Canis lupus familiaris: one gene and its partners. The main gene of each other region encodes a partner of the protein of the gene in region 2 in a complex. Links are inferred from orthologs where the notes say so. Each region holds a gene or a part of one and is shown on either strand. Other genes may lie near its edges.

Region 1 (4,997 bases), about 4.1 Mb from region 2:
CGCTATGACAGCCGAGACCGGGAGTGGGCCACCTACACCTGCGTGCTGGGCTTCCATGTCTATGGTGAGCAGGGCCTTTGGAACCATCCAGGAGGGGTGGGGGGCAAGGTGGAGTCCTCCCTGGGCTCGGCATGCTGGGCGTGTGTCAAGGGGTTGGCGTCTAGAAGCGGGCAGATCCAGCCCGGGCGGCCCCTCAGGCCCTGGGCTGTCGGGACGGACTGGGAAGGATTGCCTGGGACGCGGCCGGTGGGTGGCCGCCCTGCCTGAGCACCAGAACGTGCGTCCCTGGGCCGAGGGTGGGCACGGGGAGGAGGCCGTACTGAGGCTGGCCGCCGTGCTAGGCGTGTGGCCCGACGGCTCGGATGGCACCGACATCAACTCCCTGTGCCGCTCCCACAACGAGCGCGTGGTGGCCGTGGCCGACGACTTCTGCAAAGTGCACCTGTTCCAGTACCCGTGCGCGCGCGCCAAGGTGAGGCCTGGCGGGCTGGGCTGCTGCGGCCGGGCGGGCGGGCGGGCGGGCGGGCCCGGGCTCGGCGCCGCCGCAGCTCCGTCTTGGTTCCCGCCCAGGCGCCCAGCCTCGTGTACGGCGGCCACGGCAGCCACGTGACCAGCGTCCGGTTCACGCACGACGACTCGCACCTCATCTCGCTGGGCGGCAAGGACGCCAGCATCTTCCAGTGGCGAGTGCTGGGCGCCGGGGGCGCGGTGCCAGCGCCCGCCACGCCCTCGCGAACCCCCTCGCTGTCCCCGGCCTCCTCTCTCGACGTCTGACCGCTGCGGGAGGGCACTCACCGGCCCGCGGCCCGGCTCCGCCCCATCCGCAGCCCCCGGGGCCGGGGGCCCACCTTTCCTGGACTCCGAGACATTCCTGGTCGCGCGTTTCCCTGGAGGGGGCGAGTGGCACCCCCCGCGCACACTGTAGAGACCCGCTGGCCGAGCCGGGCAGCCCCAGCCTGGGCCCCGACTCCCGCCGCCTGCTGAGGGGCAATAAACCAGAAGCAAAGTCGCCTCTCAGTCCTTTTGTGGGGCGCGGCTGGGTGCCTCCGGAGCCCTGGGGGGTGGCGATGAAGAAAAAGAGGAGTTTGGACCGAGTCGGGGAGCGTAGGCCGCTCATGCAAACGATAGGCAAAGCCGCTTGCAAATGACCCGGCGAAGCGCGAAGGCGCGCGAGTCTTTCGTGGCCTCAGGCGGAGGTACGGGGGCTCCGGCGAGGATAGAGTTAAGCCCAACTCTTCTCCCGCCCTCGGAGGAGGGGCCGAGCCGCGACGGAAATAGCCGAGCGCCCGGCCGCGGTTGGCCGGAGGGAGCCGAACCTCTTCCGGAAGCGGCCGATCTCTGGGCTCCGTCTCTCCGACCTGAGCCGAGCGCCGGGCCTTGTTCTCCGGATCGGCCGAAGGTGTTCCGGAAGGAGGCGAAGCCCGAGGCGGGCAGGGCAAGCCTCCTCGGCGGCCGGCAGAGTCCGACGTCTGCTGGGGCTCGGCGAGGGCGGAGGTGGGGGCGCCGGAGCCTGGCTCCGGTCCGGCGGGAGCCGAGCTCGTTCCGGAAGAGGCCGAGCGGACCGGCGCTGGCCTCGGCGTCCCGGGCGTGAGGCGGCGGCGGCGGCGGCGGCGGCGGCGGCGGCGACGGCGCGGGCCGGGATGAAACGAGACGGCTGAGGTGGCGGAGGTGCCGGCTGCGCGGGACCGACCGAGACTTCCGCGAAGCGCCAGCCCCGCGCTCGGGGCTTCGCCTCGCGCCGAGCCCTGCCACCGCGAGTCTCCCGGACCCCTTTGTGCGGCCGGAGGCGGCGGCGGGAACGGCCATGGCGGCCAACATGTACCGGGTGGGGGGTGAGTACCGGGCGCAGGGGCTGCAGGGGCCGGGGCCGGGGCCGGGGCCGGAGAGGCGCGGCGGCGGGCAGCGCGGGTCGCCGCGTCTGGGGCGGCGTGGCCCCGAGCGCGGACCGGAACCGGAACCGGGAGCTCGGGGAGCGAGGCTGCGGGGACGGCGACGCGGCGGGGCCCCGCGGCCTTCGGAGAGGCTGCGGGAGGCCGCGACGGCGCCGTCCTGGCCGCGTCGGGGGCCCCCGGGGTCGGGCGGCGGGGCCTGGGAGGGTGGTTCGGCTCGAGCTGACAGGGCAGGCAGGGGGCGGAGGGGGCAGAGCGGCCGCCGCCGGGAGGTGTCCTCCTCCCGGGCGTTATTGTGCGCCTGGATGCTAAAAGGTGAGGGTCAGCGATTGCTCATTTGGCCGAGACGGGTGCATCTCCCTGGCGGAGTTGTAGGGACGGCAGGGGACCCCCTGCTTCTTGCTCCTTCCTTAAGGCTCACTTTTGAGGGAAGGATTTGAGATTAGAACTTGGGTGGTGGTGGGGAAACCCCTTGTTTTCTCGTGGTCTCTCCACTTCCACATTTCAGCGTCCTCTCTACCTGGATCCTTATCCCCTTGGTCCTCTCAGGCCTCCTCTCTCTCCCACCCCGGTGCTGTCTTTCCCATCTCCCCCTCTGATCTTCCCGGTGCTTCCCCACCCCCTCCTACAGATTACGTCTATTTTGAGAACTCCTCCAGCAATCCTTACCTGGTTAGACGGATTGAGGAGCTCAACAAGGTGAGTGGAACAGAGAGAGTCCCACCCCTGTCCTGTCTGGCCTCCCCCCCTCCCCCCTCCGGGAGGGTCTTTTTCTTCTGAGGTCACTAACTTCAGGTGGAAGGCGGAGGCGGGGTGGAGGGGAACCAATCCTATCCTAAGCGCCCATTCATATTCATTCATTCATTCATTCATTCATTCATTCGGTGTATTCAGGAAAGGCTTTTGAGAGCTGGGTGGGAACCTTCTATTCTATCTCTCCTGGGCCAAGGAAAGGGAAAATCTGGAGGATAAAAAGTTTGGAAGTCTGTCCTTAAACGCCAAGTTTTATTCATAATCTTTTGGGTCTTTCTATTTATACCCCTTAGAGACTTATGCACTGTTGTTAGTCTCTTCTTTTTGTGTTTCCACTTTAAAATGACCAACTTTAACTGCTGTTTTTTTTTTTTTTTTTATCCTCTTAGACTGCAAATGGAAATGTGGAGGCAAAGGTTGTGTGTCTTTTCCGGCGAAGGGACATTTCTAGTAGCCTCAATAGTCTGGCTGATAGCAATGCCAGTGAGTGTCTTTGCACCCCCCCCCCCTCCACGCTCCCCCTCCCCATGATCTGAGGCCTGGGCATGTCCCTGCAGGTGTTTCCCCTGGTAGCATGCCCAAAGCAGGGGTGTGAGTTTGGGGGTGAGAAATGCCTGGTTTGCGGAGGGAGGCCTGTTTTTACACGTTGGGGTTGGAAGCAGGGTGGAGAGACCATGATAAGGAAAGCCAGAAAATGGCTTGTGTGTGTGTATCTGAATGATGGGTGTAAAAGAGATGATAGTATTTAAGTAGGGGATGAAGAAGAGCTTTAGAGAAGCAGGACCCTTGGGGGTCAGTTTTGGGTACCTTGGGACAATGGGTAGTGACTGTAAAGGTCAAGGTTGAAGAGGAAGAGCGTGTACTTGGAAGCCTGCATAACAAGGAAGCAGCCTAATTTTGCGATCACGAAGTAATGAGAATACATTGAAGGAAGAGAATGGGAAACTAGGAAACTTTTCTTGCCCTTTTTCCTCTTTCTCACCTCTTCTGTTTTGCTCCACTCCATTTTACATCTTTTCCTTTTGTGTTATCTTCCTTCTCTTTATGCTTTCATCTTCCTTTAAAAAAACTATTTCTTTATGTTTTCCTTAGTTTCTTTTTCCTTTCCTGCTTTGGCTTTCTTTCCTCTTCCTCTTGTTCCTCCTTCTGAAATTATCTTCCTTATTTCAGGCAGCTGTGGCCATGAAGGGGTTAACGAGGAGCTAGGCCTACCAAGTTCTCTGGCCCTCTGGGGTTTCCAGCCCCATCTGGCAGGGGCTGACCTTGGCCTTGTCCAATCAGAAGGGGTGGGGGGGGTGTGGTCCCCCCCTTGCCTTAGCACTGGGTTTCCGGAGCACACAGGCGAGGGGTGGAGCCTGCTGCACCCCACCCCCCCCTTCTCCCTGAGGTTGGGAACAATGCACCAATGAGCCTGGGCCTGTGGCTCTCCTGCCCCCTCCCGCTTTGGTTGGCCCTCAGCCAAGTTAACCCTTTCCACCAAGGTTTCAGGGCAAAGTTGCAGTGCCTGGGGAGGAAGGCACTGGCGCTGGCTTGAGAGGTACTGTCCTTGGAAGCCCCACAAACAATCATTAGTCAAGTGGACAGTGAAGAATAGTTAGGACTGCGAGATGTATAAGAGCAAAGAGACTCCTGAAATCTGAAAAGAACTAGTAAACACAACCTCGTGTGATGATTTTTCACCTTATTGGGTTTCTGGAACTCGGGCTGGTTTAGCAAGAGAGAGGAGTGTGATATTCTTGCTGGGCCTGAAGTGGGCAGATTTGTGCTTTATGAGTGGCATTTAAGCATTGGCACCTGGGTTTGGGATGCATTTCTGTGGCATTCTTTGTACTCTTAGCAGCGATTCCCAAGGCATTAGTGATGGGGAGTTGGGAGCACTGTAATGGGGAGAGGGCTAAGTGGGAAGTTTGGCGGGCTTAGGGGCTGAGAGGTAGATGCCTGGGGAATGTGAAAACCAGCTGGAATAGGAAATGTTTTCCCCGGGGTTAGAGTTGCCAGGGTGGCTTCTTTCTGAATTAGTTTCTGACTTGGCTTCTTCCTCCTTCATCTCCCAGGGGAGTTTGAGGAGGAATCAAAGCAGCCAGGGGTGTCAGAGCAGCAGCGACATCAGCTGAAGCACCGGGAGCTTTTTCTTTCTCGGCAATTTGAATCCTTACCAGCCACCCACATACGGTATAGGACAATCAAGGCCACTGTGGCCTGTAGGCACTTCCGTAGAAGCTGGCAAGGGAGGGGGTGGTGTATTGGAGATGCTGTGGAGAGGCAGTGAGGAGCTCACCCGGGGTTTTCTGACTTCTCTTCTGTAGGGGGAAATGCAGTGTGACGCTCCTGAATGAGACTGACATCTTGAGCCAA
Region 2 (4,879 bases):
TCATCTTGTATATTTCCTACCCCAGTCTTAGAATTAGCCATTTCTCCAAGGAACTCTGGTTCATTTTATTGGAGAATGCTATTAGAAACCAAGATCTGGGTGCTAAGTTGCTTCTAGGCCCTCTCAGCAGACAGAGGAGATACCCATGTACACTAATCTGTGTATATGCAGTCTTTATATAATTTCTCTATGTAACCAACTGTATCTACATTGAGCTAAACATGAGTTCATACTGATATCTCCAGTTCCAACCTTGATCGTGTTAGCCTCCTCCACATGCTTACCTGTCACTACTTATTCCAACAATAAGAAATCATCCATCCTGACTTAACTGTCAATTCTAGTGTACATGTGCTGTGGCTTCACAATTGTTAACCCATACTGCCACAGAAAACCGCTTCATCAACTAAAGTTGATGCTTACCCGCAGCTCCTTTACATTCACTTACAGACTCCGCCCATTTCCAGATTAGCACCTTACTCCCCCACCCCTTTAGTGAGGCTGTCTCAATCCTACCATACAAAATAACTTCACTGCCTTAAAAAAAAAAAAAAAAAAAAAAAAAAATCCCCGATGTCACTCATTTAACTCTACCCCTCACCACCCCCGGCACCCAGTAATCTGTTTACCTCATGTATGAGTTTGTCTTTTCCAGAATGTCATACAATTGGAACCATACAGCGCATAGCTTTTTCAGACTGGCTTCTTTCGCTTAGAAATATGCCTACCTGTGTCTTTTCAGAGCTAGATAGATGATTTCCTTTTATTGCTGAATAAATAGTCCCTTATACGGATATATCACAGTTTGTTCATTCGCCAATTGAAAGCTGCCTCCTCTGCAAAGACTCCTGTGATGTCACCAAGCAGGCTCCTTCCTCTTAGTTCCAATGCATCCTGTATACCAGTCTCCACATTGTCTTATTGTGCTGTGTGCCTTTGCTTTCCTGTCTGTCTCTCCTTGAGACCAGGAGCTCCTTGAGGAGAGAAGCCACGGCCAGTTCATTTCCATATCATCAGTGTCCCGCACAAGGATGGAGGATGGAGTCAGAAAATGCCTGTTGGATGAATGGACGAATGAATGAAATGTCACGGAGAGGAGGAAAATCTACAGACCTGGGGCATGAAGAATACACAAGGCCAGAATAGTTTTGAGGCGAAGTAGCCCAAGAGAAAGGGTTAGTGTTCGGAGGAAAGTCTAAGATCTAGGGTGGTGAGGAATGAAATTTGAGGGGAGGGGTCTGGATGCAGAAATGGAAAGAAAAGAGGACAATGAAACAAGCTCCTTATGAATATTCATTTATCCACACAACCCTGTAAGACAGTTATTACTAACGTCCGCATCTTTACGATGGGGAAACCCAAACATACTAGGGTAACTTGCCCAAGGGGAAATCGCTGGTGCGGTGGGGTGAGATTCGAACCATCAGCCTCGCTCCACTTGGTGCTCTCACCCAAGATCGGTTTGGTACAGGGCCCGGCGAGCGGCGAGAATTCAACGAAGGCGAGATGATCCTGCTGTTGCCAGTAGGAGGCCCAGGCTCGGAGTCTTGGAGGACTGGCTGAGGGGTCTTTGAGGCCGCCCTCGGACCTAACACGAGCTTAGACCAAAGGACGAGGCAAACCCGAGAGGCGCGGAGGCAGCGTCGATGAGGGACCCGTTGCCATAGGAACAAACGGAAGCTTTAGGAGGGCGCATGCGCAGGCCGGGGAAAGGGTGTGGAGCCGGCGAAAGGTGACGTAAAAGCGCACGGGGTGAGACGCAGGGCTCCGCACGTCAAAGCCCTGCGTCCTCCGGCATTCAGTGCAGTGGAAAGGCGCGCGCGGTGCTGGCGCCGGCAGTGATAGCAGCCCCAACTGGACCGAGAGCAGGCGGTGCGGAGCTGACGTGCAGAGCAGCGCCAGTGAAGCGTGAAGGCGGCGCCCGCGCCGGGAAGACCCCTCCGCGCAAAACGCGGCCGACCGGACCCGGGTCCCGGCTTCCAAGGCCCCGCCTCTCGGGCCTTGGGACTAATCGGATTGAGAGCGCGCCGGCCCGGACCCCGAACTCGCCAATTGCGTAGGGCGTCAGCTACCGCCCAATCCGGAGCAGACAGGTGCGAGGTCCGAAAGGCGGAGACCAATCAGCAGCGGTTGCGGCCTGTTGGGGCCGATCTCTGCCAATGAGGAGGCCCGAGTGACATCCGCGCACACCAATCGGGAGTGAGAGAGCGTTCGTGCCCGCCCGCCCTTCCGGCCTGAGCTCTATTTACCAGGGGCGTGCGGCCGGTTTACCAATCAGAGCGCGGCTGAGCGGCCGAGCAGCCAACCCCGGAGGAGCGGCCGGCCGGCGTCCGCCGCACCCGAGAGTTGGGGATGTCCTACAAACCCATCGCCCCCGCCCCCAGCAGCACCCCCGGCTCCAGCACCCCTGGGCCCGGCACCCCGGTCCCCACAGGTGAGGATCCGACTCTACCCCTGCTCGCCTGCCCGGGTGGTCGAGGTCTCGAGAACACGGCCCGAGTTCTGCAACACTGGGCCTGCTGCCTCCCCTCTCTGAGCCTCAGTTTGCTGGCCTGTGAAGTGGGCGTGGTCACGTAAGGGCTAGTTGGTGGAGCGCAGGGGGAGGGGTTTGTCGCTGAAGTTGAGCGCCTGGAGCGAAGTATCCCTTTGGAGGGAAGCGGGCGAATCCGGTCGGGGGCTTGGAACGCTGGGAGGCCGGGTCCCGGCCCCGCGCTGACCTATTACTCGCGCATGTTGCAGCCGGAAGTGTCCCATCGCCGTCGGGCTCAGTGCCGGGAGCCGCTGCCCCTTTCAGGCCCCTGTTTAACGACTTTGGACCGCCCTCCATGGGCTATGTACAGGTGAGTGGGGTGAGGGATTGCCTACGGACGGGGACTGGAGGTCCCCGCGGGCCCTGAGCTCATGGCCCTGTCCTCTTTTGACATAGGCAATGAAGCCACCTGGCGCCCAGGGCTCCCAGAGCACCTACACGGACCTGCTGTCGGTCATAGAGGAGATGGGTAAAGAGATCCGGCCCACCTATGCTGGCAGCAAGAGCGCCATGGAGCGCCTGAAGAGAGGTAAGTGAGGCTTCCACCCTCCCTGCTCAGGAGACTAACACTGGACAATCCTTCCTTAGCAAAGGAAGGACATCTGGAGGCCGCGTGACCCAAGCCTAAACAAGGGTGGGTGTCACTTTCCAGGGAGGTGTTTTGAATTGAATTGAAATTGAGTCCGTTTGGGGGGAAGGACCAGGGCATTTGTCTTTCAAAAGGACAAATTTGAGGATTAGCCAAATCGTTAATCTCATCAGGCCCTTTATCATCCTCCTCCCTTTCACTGGAAGGAAAGGGGGTGGGGAAGGAGGGTCTTCCTCTGGAGGATGAGGGTGGGACCCTGCAGGGTCGCTGCATGTTACTTGCCCATTCCCACCTCAGGCATCATCCATGCCCGGGCCCTAGTCAGAGAGTGCCTGGCAGAGACAGAGCGGAACGCCCGCACGTAACAGGACGCAATTCCACCGCCGAGTCTGGACCTTTCCTGGCCACTGCAGAGCACCTGCTTCTCCCTGGCCTTCACCCCGAGTTGCACTTCCCAACCTGGGCTTCCTGTCCTGTGTCCCCTGGTGGGTGCCCTCCAGGAACCAGGGGGCGGCTCTCACTCCAGCCGACAACACTTGACTGGGACTCTTTCAAGAGTTAGCAGCGAGGTCACTGTGAGTCCCGCCCATGACCTGCCAACAGTGTTGATCCAACTGGAGCTTGCTCCTTTCTGTGGCCCCCACCACTCAGCACTTACCCAGGACTTGTCACCACCTTTCCTAGACTCCTCCCCTAGCAAGGCCTCCCTAGGCCTGTCACCTCCCTGCCTTGTCTCCTGGGCCATAGCGACTCTTTTTTCAGTCAGTGTCTTTTGCTAAATATGCCCTTTTTGTATAAATAAAAGATAATTTGGAGTTGTTCTCTCACCTCTTAATCTTTCTGAGTGTGGTGCTTCTGCTGAGCCAGGAAGAAATTGGAAAAGAGGAGATCGAGGAGGGGAGAGGGGCAATGCAGTGGTGGGAGACAGGGCCACTGAACCTGGCCTGGCCTGGCTCCTACTGTCCATTGACTTGGCTGGGACCCTGCCCTCCTCCAGCCCTGGGCCTTCACAGTTCTGAGTCTTGAAAAGGCTTAAGCTCCAGTAGCTGTGAGCCCTACCCTCCTACACGTGGTGCCACCAGGGGGCAGCCTGGAGCTTTAGCCGCCTCCACAGCTGGAGGGCACTGTCGCCAGCCCGGGCCTAGAGGGTTCTTTCTCTGGATTGGCAGTCAGTGCCTGGCAGGGTGGAAATGTCAGTTCATATAAGCCAGGCCCTCACGTGTCTTAATTTTCTAAAATCTTAACCTCCCAGTCAACCCTGGAAGGTTCTGAACACGTCCTGACTTCTCAGAGGAGAGGGGGCACTGCTGCTGCTTTTCTCCAGCACCTGAGAAGCAGAGCCAAGGGGAGAGGATGGTCTTCCAACAGGAGCGAGATCCAGCTTGGTGCTGCCATCCACTGTCCCAGCACCTCCTAGCCAGCTGGGTGTGGTCCCGTGAGCCCAGCCCTCAGGTGTCTCAGCCTTTGCCCAGGGTCTGGTTGGCCAGACTTGTGGACCCGGAAGGCATCTGTGGGAAAAGCCATGGGGCCCCATTCAGGGGCTAGACCAAGGATTTCCGGTGACCACAGTAGCGGTCTGCCTGGGTGTGTACCTGAATGACCCCAGAGGCCTAGGGCACTGGAACCCCAGCCCCTTAGAAGAGGCAAGTCTAGGACCAGCTTCTCGGCTAACTTTGGGGACTGAGACATTTCCCCTATCCCGGGTTCCAGGTTGGAGGGCTGGGGAGAATGGGGATGGGGTCCTGCCATATTTCCATGGC
Region 3 (4,914 bases), on a different chromosome or scaffold from region 2:
CCGGTGCATGGAGCCTGCTTCTCCCTCTGCCTGTGTCTCTGCCTCTCTCTCTCTCTGTGACTATCATAAATAAATAAAAAAAAAATTAAAAAGAAATAAAAATAAAGAGAGAGAGAACACAGGGAGAGGGAAAGGGAGAGAGAAGCAGAAGCAGGCTCCAGGCTGAGCGTGGACCCCGACGTGGGGCTTGACCCCGGGGCCCCAGGATCGTGACCTGAGCCAAAGGCAGACTCTCAGCCCACCACGGTGCCCCTGAGCCTGATTTTTTTTTTTTTTAAGATTTTATTTAATTTATTCATGAGAGACACAGAGAGAGGCAGAGACCCAGGCAGAGGGAGAAGCAGGCTCCACGCAGGGAGCCCGACGTGGGACTCGATTCCAGGTCCCCGGGATCACGCCCTGGGCTGAAGGTGGAGCTAAGCCGCTGAGCCCCCCGGGCTGCCCGAGCCTGATTTCTTTAGGGCACAGGGTTGCCTGTTTGTCTGCAGGGAGCTCGGGGGTCTGCGTCTGCCCAGCGCGGGCCCCGTGTCACCTGAGCCGTCAGGCAGCGGCGCCGGGAGCCCCCTCCTACCCAGCTCTCGCTCACTCACCCTCCGGGTCTTTCCTTTGTCACCCTGGCCTGAGGTTGATCCCCTTACTGGCTGTTTACACGAGTTCATTTTTCCTCATTATGCTGGTTTTTGCTCATCATCTACCATCTTTTTGCTTTGCGTGTTTTCCCATCTACCAAAGCTTAACCCACCCGTCTCAGGCGTGCAGGTCTGAATTGTGGGGAGCACATGCAGGGGTGCAACTGGCGGCTGGGACGCAGCCCCGTGCCCCCCAGCCCCCTGCCTGAGCAGGGATCCTCAGAGCCGCATGCAGGGCCGGTGGGGCTCCTCCTGGGTCGTGTCCAGTGTAGACTGCATGTGAATAACAGCTTTGGTTTATTTACTTATTTTTTTTTAAAATAGATTTTTTACTTATTTATTCATGAGAGACACAGAGAGGGACAGACACAGAGGGAGAAGCAGGCTCCACGCAGGGAGCCCGATGCAGGACTCGATCCCGGGGCTCCAGGACCACGCCCGGGGCCAAAGGCAGCGCTAAACCGCTGAGCCACCCAGGGATCCCCGACAGCTTTGATTTAATTGGTTTTTTGGTTTCTTTGGATGAAAGCTTTAAGACCAATAGGGCTTTATATTAAAACTGCTCTTTTGAGCGACAATTCACGTGTGATAAAATTCACCCGCTCACGAGGCGTACGGTGTGGCCGCGGTCTGTGTTCAGAGTGTTTCCACTGCCGTCAAGCCGACCTCGAGCCCGTCGATGGCCCCCTCCCGTAGAGCTCTCTTCCCCCCCAGCCCGCGAGCGTGGCCCTCTGAGCCCGGCAGCCCTGTTCCCTCTGGGCTGTTAGTGCTGTTGCTCTTTCGTTCCGTGGAGCTCTGTGGGTGCCCATGGCCGCGTCCCATCCGGCTGTGGCCTCGGGCAGCACAGGTGAGCCCCCCCCAGCAGCACAGGTGCGCTCCCTCCTACAGTATAGGTGAGGACCCCCCAGCATAGTGAGCCTCTCCTGCAGCACGGGTGAGCCTCCCGCAGCAGCATAGGTGAGCGCCCCCATCTCCCTGCAGCATAGGTGAGCTCTCCTCTGCAGCACAGGTGAGCGCCCCCCCCCAAGCACAGGTGAGCCCCCTCAGGTGCCTGCAGCAGGTACACAGCAGCAGCAGGTGCCAGATGCTTGCTGGGGCCTCTCCACACGGTGGAGCGGTAGGACCTCTTGAGAGGACGGAGCTGGCCTGGGTCCTGGGGCAAGATCTGTGCTCCGAGTGGCCCTTTGGCTGTGTCCCGGCTGACACGGGCCTCTTGCAGGCCTTCCCTGGGGCACGGGGGACAGCGCGGGGCACCCCTGCTGGGGACTGCAGCCTGGCCTCGTCCTGGCACCGAGTCACCCGCAGCTGCCCCGAGCTACCTGCTATATCACGGCGGCGGCCAGGCTGGCAGCTGGGTGGCCTCCCGGCTGGCCTGGGCTCCGTGGGAGCCGGCCAGCCGCCCCCGTGGGCCTCTTGGGAAATCCCGGGTGCCTGCCAGCCTCCTGGGGACCGATCCCAGGCTGCTCTGGAGCCGGAGGCGAGCTGGTGCCCACATGGTGTGCTGGGGACCTGGCGGGCGGTGGCGGGACCTCGTTCCTCTGGCACCTGACCCCGTCCGCACCCCCGAGAGCCCTGCCTCTGCCCAGGGAGCCCCGGCCTCCTCCGTTCCCTGCCCGGGGCGCGTGGGGTGGGGGGGCAGGTGCAGGCGCCCGGCAGCCCCTCGGAAGCTGTCCTGGGGGAAGCTGCAGTCCGGCTCCCACAGCGTCTGCGCGGGGCAGGGGGCGGGGCGTGTGGACCCTCTGCCCGGGACAGCCCCCTCCGTCCTCTAGGACCCGTGCCCGGCACCCACCAACATGTCTGGGTACCTGTCTGTGCACTAAGGTGGCAGGGGCACCGTGTCCTTCGTTCCCTCCTGTTCCCTGGCCCCTAGAACTGGGCGCGGGTGTGAGGGGGGTCGGGGCTCCCCTGGTCCCCGGGCTCAGTGCTGCGGGGTGACGCACTCTGTTCCTGTTTGCAGACTACGTCTATTTTGAGAACTCCTCCAGCAACCCGTACCTGATTCGCAGGATCGAGGAGCTCAACAAGGTACGTGCATGGGGGGGGGCGCGTGGTGGGGGGGGGCCGCCCGGGGCTTCAGGGCCGGCCCCAGACCCTTCGGTGGCTTTGTTCCCGTGCCACACGCCTACACCTGGGTCCTTCTCCTTGGAGAGCTCTCCGTGGGGTCCCTGTGGCGGGTGTGCTCTGTGGGACAGGGGCGCCCTGTGGGGTCCCCCTGGCCGGGGTCTCCCCGCCCACCTGCTGCCTCTGCCTCTTCCCGGCTCACTCAGGCCCCTGCCGCCCCGCTCTGGGCCCTCGCAGCCGCCCCCCCTCCCGCCAGCCTCCCGCTCTGAGGCGCCCCCGGCAGCACTGGGGAGAGGCAGGAGTGTCCCTGCGGCCGTGGAGTCCCTGGCCCCGGAGCACCTGTTGTCCCCGACTGGCTGTGCTCCGTGAGGCCAGTCCTCAAGGGCTGCTCTCCTGGACCCCGAGCACGGCAGCGTGGCTGGGCATCCTTGGGACCGGCGGGCTGGGGGCGGAGGTCGGGGTGCTGGTGCTCCACGGAGCAGACTGGTGGCAGCCGAGCCCCGACCCCTGTGCCCCCGTTCCCGAGACTCCTGCGCAGCATCTGCCCGGGGGAGGGGGTGCCCCCAGGCCTCCGCTGCACACAGCGTGTGGGGCTGGTCCTTGCAGCCTGGCAGCTCCTGGGAGGCTGGGCCAGGTCTGGACGCGGCAGGGCGAGGGCAGTGACCAGGACGCTGTGGGGCCACCTCCCGCGGGTGCTTGCTGGGGGAAGCTGCCCACGGCCCGCCCGGGCAGCAGGGCCAGCAGGGCACGGGGTGGGCATCGGCTCGGGAACACATGGGGTCGGGCCCGCGACTCCAGTGAGCGGTGGGGAGCGTGGCGGGGGAGCCGGGGGCCCACTGCTGGGCTGGCCGCGGGCAGTGGGTCTCGGGTGGGGCCAGCACAGCCCCTGCCCCTCGCTTTGGCTGTGACGTGGAGAGGGCAGGTGGCACCACCTGTGGCAGCCTGCAGGTGACGGGTCTGCACGGCAGTGGCCACAGCCCGCCATTGGAGCGCTCGGGGTGGGGTCGATGGGCGTCTGCGTGTGAGCCTGCAGCCCCCTTCAGTACTGGGGTGGGGCGGGAGGGACCCTCTGGCCCCCGCAGCCCGCCTCCCCTGCTGCCCGGGGACCCGGGGCAGTCCCGGCTGGGGCCGCTGGGAGCTCGTTTTGTGGGCCCTTCCCTGCTGGGGCCACCCTGCCCGGAGCCCCCAGGCCCCCAGGGCCCCTTGGGCACAGGAGAAACGGCCCCGAGGGTCAAGTCCCCGGAAGTCGGGGCTCGTCTGGGCGCAGCTCTGGCGCAGGGCGGGGGCGGCAGCTGGCTGCGGCCCCTGAGCTCCCGGCTGGTCACCCGGCGCTCCCCGCCCCCCCACCTCTCTCGTGTCTGCTGAGCTCTTCGGAGGTCCTGGAAGGCGTCTGGGCGCTGGCGGCCTCCCCGGGGGCCGGCGGGGCAGGGGCACCGACTGCTTGCTCCAGCCCCTGTGGTTCCAAGGAGGGCGCCAGCGGGGAGCCCCGCGCAGACCCCCGCTGAGCAGGGAGCCCGTGGGGCGCGGCCCCGTGACCCTGAGGTCACGACCTGGGCTGAAATTGAGAGGCGGCCGCCTGACCAGGTGCCCCCGTGGCTGCTTCCAGTTCTGATGGGGAACCAGGCCCCTGGCGCTGAGGTCTGCCCAGCGGTGCGACAGAGGCCTTGATCCACCCCAGGGGTGCTGGAAGGTGGGGCCCAGGGGCTGTGGCCTTTCCAGCGTCCGGACGTCCACCAGGTTCTGGTCCTGAGCGAGCAAGGCCTGGGGGAGGGACGCAGGTCAACAGGGGGACCTGGCTGGCGGGCCAGGAGGAGGGTGCACCGCTGGAGGGCTCAGGTCCGCCGAGCGCCCCTCCCCGGTCAGACGTGCCCCGGCCCACTCGGCGTCAGCGCTCCCTGGGCTTGGCTTCTCCCGCGACCTGCCGGCCCTGGGGTCACTCGAGGCCCCTCTGGGCCGCCCCTGCTGGCAGCCGCCGGCCGGTCGGGGGCGTGCGTTGCTCAGACCCTGCCTTGCTCTTGCAGACGGCCAACGGCAACGTGGAGGCCAAGGTGGTGTGCTTCTACCGGAGGCGCGACATCTCCAGCACCCTCATCGCCCTGGCCGACAAGCACGCCAGTGAGTCTTGGCCTTTCCCTGGGGGCGGGGGGCAGGGGCGAGGCCTCTGTGGCTCCGAAGGTTTCCTGACGCTGGGTGTAGTGTTTTCAGAAGCAAAGTCCCTGTTTGT
Region 4 (4,751 bases), on a different chromosome or scaffold from region 2:
AGAAACAACTTGGTGGGGTGGTCCTGAGGTACGTGTATGTGAAAACAGCAAAGAGTCTACTGTCTTTGGAGCTAAATGAACAAGGCAGAGAGCAGTAAGAGTGGAGGTCAGAGGGATAGGGAGCAGCCAGAGAATATGTTTCATAGGCCAACACTTCTCTTTGTATCCTAATTAATTTTCTAAATAAACTCATAAACAGTTTCAAGTTGCCTACACTCTTACACATCACTAAAATAAAAGAGAAGATCAGAATGAGGGCAGCCCAGGTGGCTCAGCAGTTTAGCGCCGCCTTCAACACAGGGCCTGATCCTGGAGACCGGGGATCAAGTCCTGCGTCAGGCTCCCTGCATGGGCCTGCTTCTCCTCTGCCTGTGTCTCTGCTTCTGTGTGTGTGTGTGTGTGTGTGTGTGTGTGTGTGTGTCTCATGGAGAAATAAAATCTTTAAAAAAAAAAAAAGATCAAAATGACACCCCAACTGTTCCCACCAACAGACTGATCTAATCCTGAGGTCATTTTCTTCATTTGATGGTGGTGGTCTCAACTACAACAGAATTTTTATAGATGTAAGGTCCATGGGGATGTCTCCAGAAGCAAACCAAGATCTCAGGGTTCATAAACCAGAAATGCCCTAAACCAAATCTTACATCCTGGGACTCAGAACTTCCCCAGTCTCTAGAAGGTACTTTGGAGGAAAGGTATTAGCAAGACAGCTTCCGACATTTTAACACTATGAACTCTCATAAGTAAAACAAATAATCTTCAAAGTTGGTTTGGAGGAAACCAGAGCACCATTAGTAATCCATGGTTCATATAGTTTATGGCTTTTCATATGCTACCATTATAATAAGCTCACCTATTGCAAACAGTCACAAAGCTTCTGCTGTCAGGCCTAAAGTAGGAAGCTACTTTACATTATAACAAAACTGTATTCTTATTAGTTGACCTAGTCCAAAATTTTACAAATTCGCTTCAATACTACATTTCCTAGCTTCCTCTTTCTAAAGCTGAAAGAGGAAAAAATAATTCCCTGAAAGAAATACAATTATGACTCTAAATATAAAAAGGGACAGTTACAAGAGTGACCTGCTCCGAGAAGATCTGAGCAACGTGAAGAAATCTGCAGATTTTTTTTTTTAAGATTTTATTTATTTATTCATGAGAGACACACAGACAGGCAGAGATGTAGGCAGAGGGAGAAGCAGGCTCCATGCAGGAAGCACGATGTGGGACTTGATCCTGGGACTCTGGGATCACGCCCCGAGCCAAAGGCAGATGCTCAACCACTGAGCCCAGGCATCCCAGAAATCTGCAGATGTTAAATATTCAGTAACATTTAATATCATAGGTAATTATAAAAGCAAAAGAATATTCAGAATCCTGCATAACTCTCTAATCTTCAATCTCTAGTTTCAAAGAGTCCAGGACTGAAAGTAAAATCACCTCTTATGCCCTTTACCTAATTACTCGTCAATGGAAAACAATTTTTTTTTAATATTAGAATCAAGAACACTTAGCGTTTATACCTTGTTGAGTTCTTCTATCCTTCTGATTAGGTACGGGTTACTGGAGGAATTCTCAAAGTAGACATAATCTGTAATTAAAGGAAGTAAAGACCTTAATCTTTTCAACAGAAAGTTCACATTTGTCAATCTATGACTTTCTATATTAGGCAATGCACATTCAAAATGAAGCACATAATTCATTCCCGGTTAAAAGCAAATTTAGCAATACAACCTTAATATATTTTCTCATGCCTACTATTCACAGACCCTTATTTTCCTGAAATTTTCATTTAACAATTAATGTTTTATCAAGCTCTCTGAGCCTTTCATGCCACACATCACTTCTTTAATAATAAACAAAAAGACTCCTCATCACCGAGTAGTCAGGGCTGACTAAACATGTGTCTTTCATGCTATAACTGCTTCCACATCTTTCCCCTCCAATCCAATTTACCCTGGAGTATGCTTCTCACATAAAACTATTGACCTAAGACAAATTCAGAGCATCTTGAAAAGCTTAGCAGCCCAAAGTACATTTCAATCACCAACTTAAAAAAAAAAAAAAATCAGGTGAGCAGAATAGGTAAGAGGAAGCACACTGACAAACTTCCACAGCTCTATCTGGGATGATTGGGGGGGGGGGGGGGGGCATGAAAGGGGATTCCCTTTCTGAGAGACAGAGCTCTCTGGAGATGGTTATCAGGATTTTGTTATGCTCTTTACCATATTTAATACAGATCCATTTGGGGTCTTGTTATAAAAAAAAAAATCACCGCAGGCTTTCAATAAAAAAGATAAAAATTTTCAAGTGTGGCTTTTCCTCTCCTGTAATAGGCTCACTGGAAACTTCCCACTGTGTGTTTATTTGAAAGGCTGGGCTGCATTGTTATTGTCTATCTTAGTGGCTCTTTCCGTCGTCTCTCTTCTGCAAAGTGGCCTCATTTGGCCAGGCCATTCCCACTACCATCCATCAGGAGCTCAGCTAATGAGCAGAGAAGACCAAGTCTCACACACAAACACGCCACTTATCTGAATTATTATTCTACCAAGAAAGAGGGAGGAGGGCGTCGTGAGTAGGGAGAAAGTTTGTTTGACCTTATTTCTCTTTTCTGCAGAGGGCTGAGAAGGCAGTCACCAGAGCAAACGTCCGGGCAGAGCTCAACTCCCCACCTCTGGCCGCGGTGCCCTGGCCCCACTACGCCCCATCTTGGGGGGGCTGGGCAAGAAACGGGAGGGGGGAGTGAGGAAGGAGAGGTGAAGGGCCCTATCCCCGCCAACAGGCCTGTCCAGCTGTGCCTGGCTGAGCCCCCATCGCCCCCACCCCCCGCTCCCAACTGAAGGGGTGAAGGAGTAGAGCGGGGGGGCGTCCCCCCATCCTCTCCAACCCCCCCACTGCCTGGAAGCCACGCAGGGAAAGAGCACCCCACTGGGGGCTCGACGGCCGACACCCAATGGGGGCGTCTCGGAGGGGGGCAGCTGAGAATTCACACCCCCAAGTACAGGCCCGGCCGGCCCTAGAAAACTGAGCGGGGGTGCGAGCGAGGGGGAAGGTGGGCGCCGGCCCCCGGCGGGCCACGGCCGGGGGAGGGGCGGGTGGCGCGGGTGGCGCGGGTGGGGAGCCCCGGCCCCTCCTGCGGGCCCCGGCGCCCCTGCCCCCCGCGCCCGCGGCCCCCGGCGGTTAGGGTGAACTCGCCCCGACCCCCCACTCCCGGAGCCCGCTCCCAGACGGGCCGGGTCGGGCCGAGCCTTCCTACCTCCGACCCGGTACATGTTGGCCGCCATGTCCGCCCGCCCGCCCGCGGAGCCCGAGCCGAGCCCCGCCCGCCGCGCCGCGCCGCCGCCGCCTCAGCCTCGGCCGCCTCAGCCTCGGCCGCCGCCGCCGCCGCCGCCGCCGCCGCCGCCTCGCCGCGGGGGGGAGGGGAGGGAGGCACCGAGGGGAGGGGAGGGGGAAGCGAAGGGGAGGGGACGCCGCGGGGTGGGGGCAGGTTCCCGCCCCCAGCGACGGGCCAGCCGGGCCGAGCGGGCCGGGCCGGGCCGGGCCGGGGGAGGTCGCTGCGGGGCCCGCGGGGACCTGGGGAGGCGGCGGCTTGGGGGCCCTCGCCGGAGGTGGGCGACCCCAGGGCAAGGGTCGTGGCCGAAGCGGAGGCCTGCAGTGGCAAATGCGGACCTGGAGCGGTGGGAGAATTGGGGTGGGGGCAGGGGCTCAGGCTCTCCCGAGCCCACACAGCCCCAGCCACCGTACCCTGTCACCTGGCCACCCGCAGACAGGTCTTCCTCCTTGCTGCGTCCCTGGGGAGCCCTTGTATGCAAGACCTTGAGCACGTGGGCGCCTGCCTCAGGGCAAACACTTGGAAACAAATAAGTGCGCCCAGCAGAGCGCCTGCCTCATGGTGGTGATGGAACCCGCATACCTTGGGGCCAGGAGGACCCTGGTGCTACCAGCTTCCCCAGGGAGCGTGCTAGCTGGAGAGAAGTCCAAAAACACTGACCCCCTCCCAAGTCACCCCAACTGCATTGACAGGTCTATCAAGTTCACCCCACGCGTGGGCTGAACAGAACCCACTCCCAGCGGAGGCCTGGCCTCTAGACAGACCCTATATCCAGTGCCGCCCTGCCAGGAAAAGAGGCCCTTAGGAAAGGGACCCTACTTATTCGCCATTCCCACCCCCTCTCCACAAAGGGGGAGATGGTTTCAGTCCCCTTACTGTTGATGGACTTTTAACTAGTTATGTGCCTAATGCTTTTGAATCATTATTTTCCCATGCCAATTCTCTAGGCAATCCCAGCATTCTCAGCCTCCATTCCCTCACAGAAACAAGCAAAAAAACAAATTGAATTGAATCTTAGCTGGCAATCCCCCAAATGAATGCAAACAACTTTTTAAAAAGCCAGCAGCACCTGACTCTTGATTTTGGCTCAGGTCATTATCTGGAGGCGGTGTCCAGGCACACACACACACCCCCCCCCATGCTCAGTGAGGAGTCTGCTTGGGATTCTCTCTCCCTGTCGCTCTGCCTCTCCTCCAAGTGCTCTCTCAAATAAACCTTGATAAAAATTTGTTTTAAATTGAAAAAATAAAAAGCCAATCCATTCCAAACTACTTCCAGACATCATTATATAATCAAGGGTAAGATGATCCCTCACTGTTGTGAGTTGTTTGTGGAGTTTCTGGTGATTTACAGCTACATGTTGGTGACCCTGGGTATGGGATCTGTGCAGGGATGGGCAGTGTCCCCAGAAAAGAAGATT

The links.
Region 1: CDK2AP2 (region 2) and MTA2 share a complex: the UniProt entries of both Homo sapiens proteins name them as parts of the nucleosome remodeling and deacetylase (NuRD) repressor complex. The link is inferred for Canis lupus familiaris from reciprocal best matches to the Homo sapiens genes CDK2AP2 and MTA2.
Region 3: CDK2AP2 (region 2) and MTA1 share a complex: the UniProt entries of both Homo sapiens proteins name them as parts of the nucleosome remodeling and deacetylase (NuRD) repressor complex. The link is inferred for Canis lupus familiaris from reciprocal best matches to the Homo sapiens genes CDK2AP2 and MTA1.
Region 4: CDK2AP2 (region 2) and MTA3 share a complex: the UniProt entries of both Homo sapiens proteins name them as parts of the nucleosome remodeling and deacetylase (NuRD) repressor complex. The link is inferred for Canis lupus familiaris from reciprocal best matches to the Homo sapiens genes CDK2AP2 and MTA3.

The regions. Positions count from the first base shown.
Region 1 is NC_049239.1:54,555,506-54,560,502, forward strand, and holds the start of MTA2 (metastasis-associated protein MTA2), read left to right. Parts: upstream 1-1,653; 5' UTR 1,654-1,804; coding exon 1,805-1,832; intron 1,833-2,121; exon of another isoform or gene 2,122-2,194; coding exon of another isoform or gene 2,195-2,204; intron 2,205-2,520; coding exon 2,521-2,588; intron 2,589-2,963; exon of another isoform or gene 2,964-3,031; coding exon 3,032-3,125; exon of another isoform or gene 3,126-4,696; coding exon 4,697-4,814; exon of another isoform or gene 4,815-4,948; coding exon 4,949-4,997. Other genes in the region: EML3 (echinoderm microtubule-associated protein-like 3), read left to right, coding at 1-64, 452-472, 571-1,148. UniProt on the Homo sapiens protein: May function as a transcriptional coregulator. Acts as a component of the histone deacetylase NuRD complex which participates in the remodeling of chromatin.
Region 2 is NC_049239.1:50,472,332-50,477,210, forward strand, and holds CDK2AP2 (cyclin-dependent kinase 2-associated protein 2), read left to right. Parts: upstream 1-1,756; 5' UTR 1,757-2,352; coding exon 2,353-2,434; intron 2,435-2,739; coding exon 2,740-2,840; intron 2,841-2,926; coding exon 2,927-3,059; intron 3,060-3,416; coding exon 3,417-3,484; 3' UTR 3,485-3,954; downstream 3,955-4,879. UniProt on the Homo sapiens protein: Acts as a component of the histone deacetylase NuRD complex which participates in the remodeling of chromatin.
Region 3 is NC_049229.1:73,159,676-73,164,589, forward strand, and holds the start of MTA1 (metastasis-associated protein MTA1), read left to right. Parts: upstream 1-1,570; 5' UTR 1,571-1,713; coding exon 1,714-2,125; intron 2,126-2,586; coding exon 2,587-2,654; intron 2,655-4,711; coding exon 4,712-4,805; intron 4,806-4,914. UniProt on the Homo sapiens protein: Transcriptional coregulator which can act as both a transcriptional corepressor and coactivator. Acts as a component of the histone deacetylase NuRD complex which participates in the remodeling of chromatin.
Region 4 is NC_049238.1:34,301,469-34,306,219, reverse strand, and holds the start of MTA3 (metastasis-associated protein MTA3), read right to left. Parts: upstream 3,345-4,751; 5' UTR 3,285-3,344; coding exon 3,257-3,284; intron 1,592-3,256; coding exon 1,524-1,591; intron 1-1,523. UniProt on the Homo sapiens protein: Acts as a component of the histone deacetylase NuRD complex which participates in the remodeling of chromatin.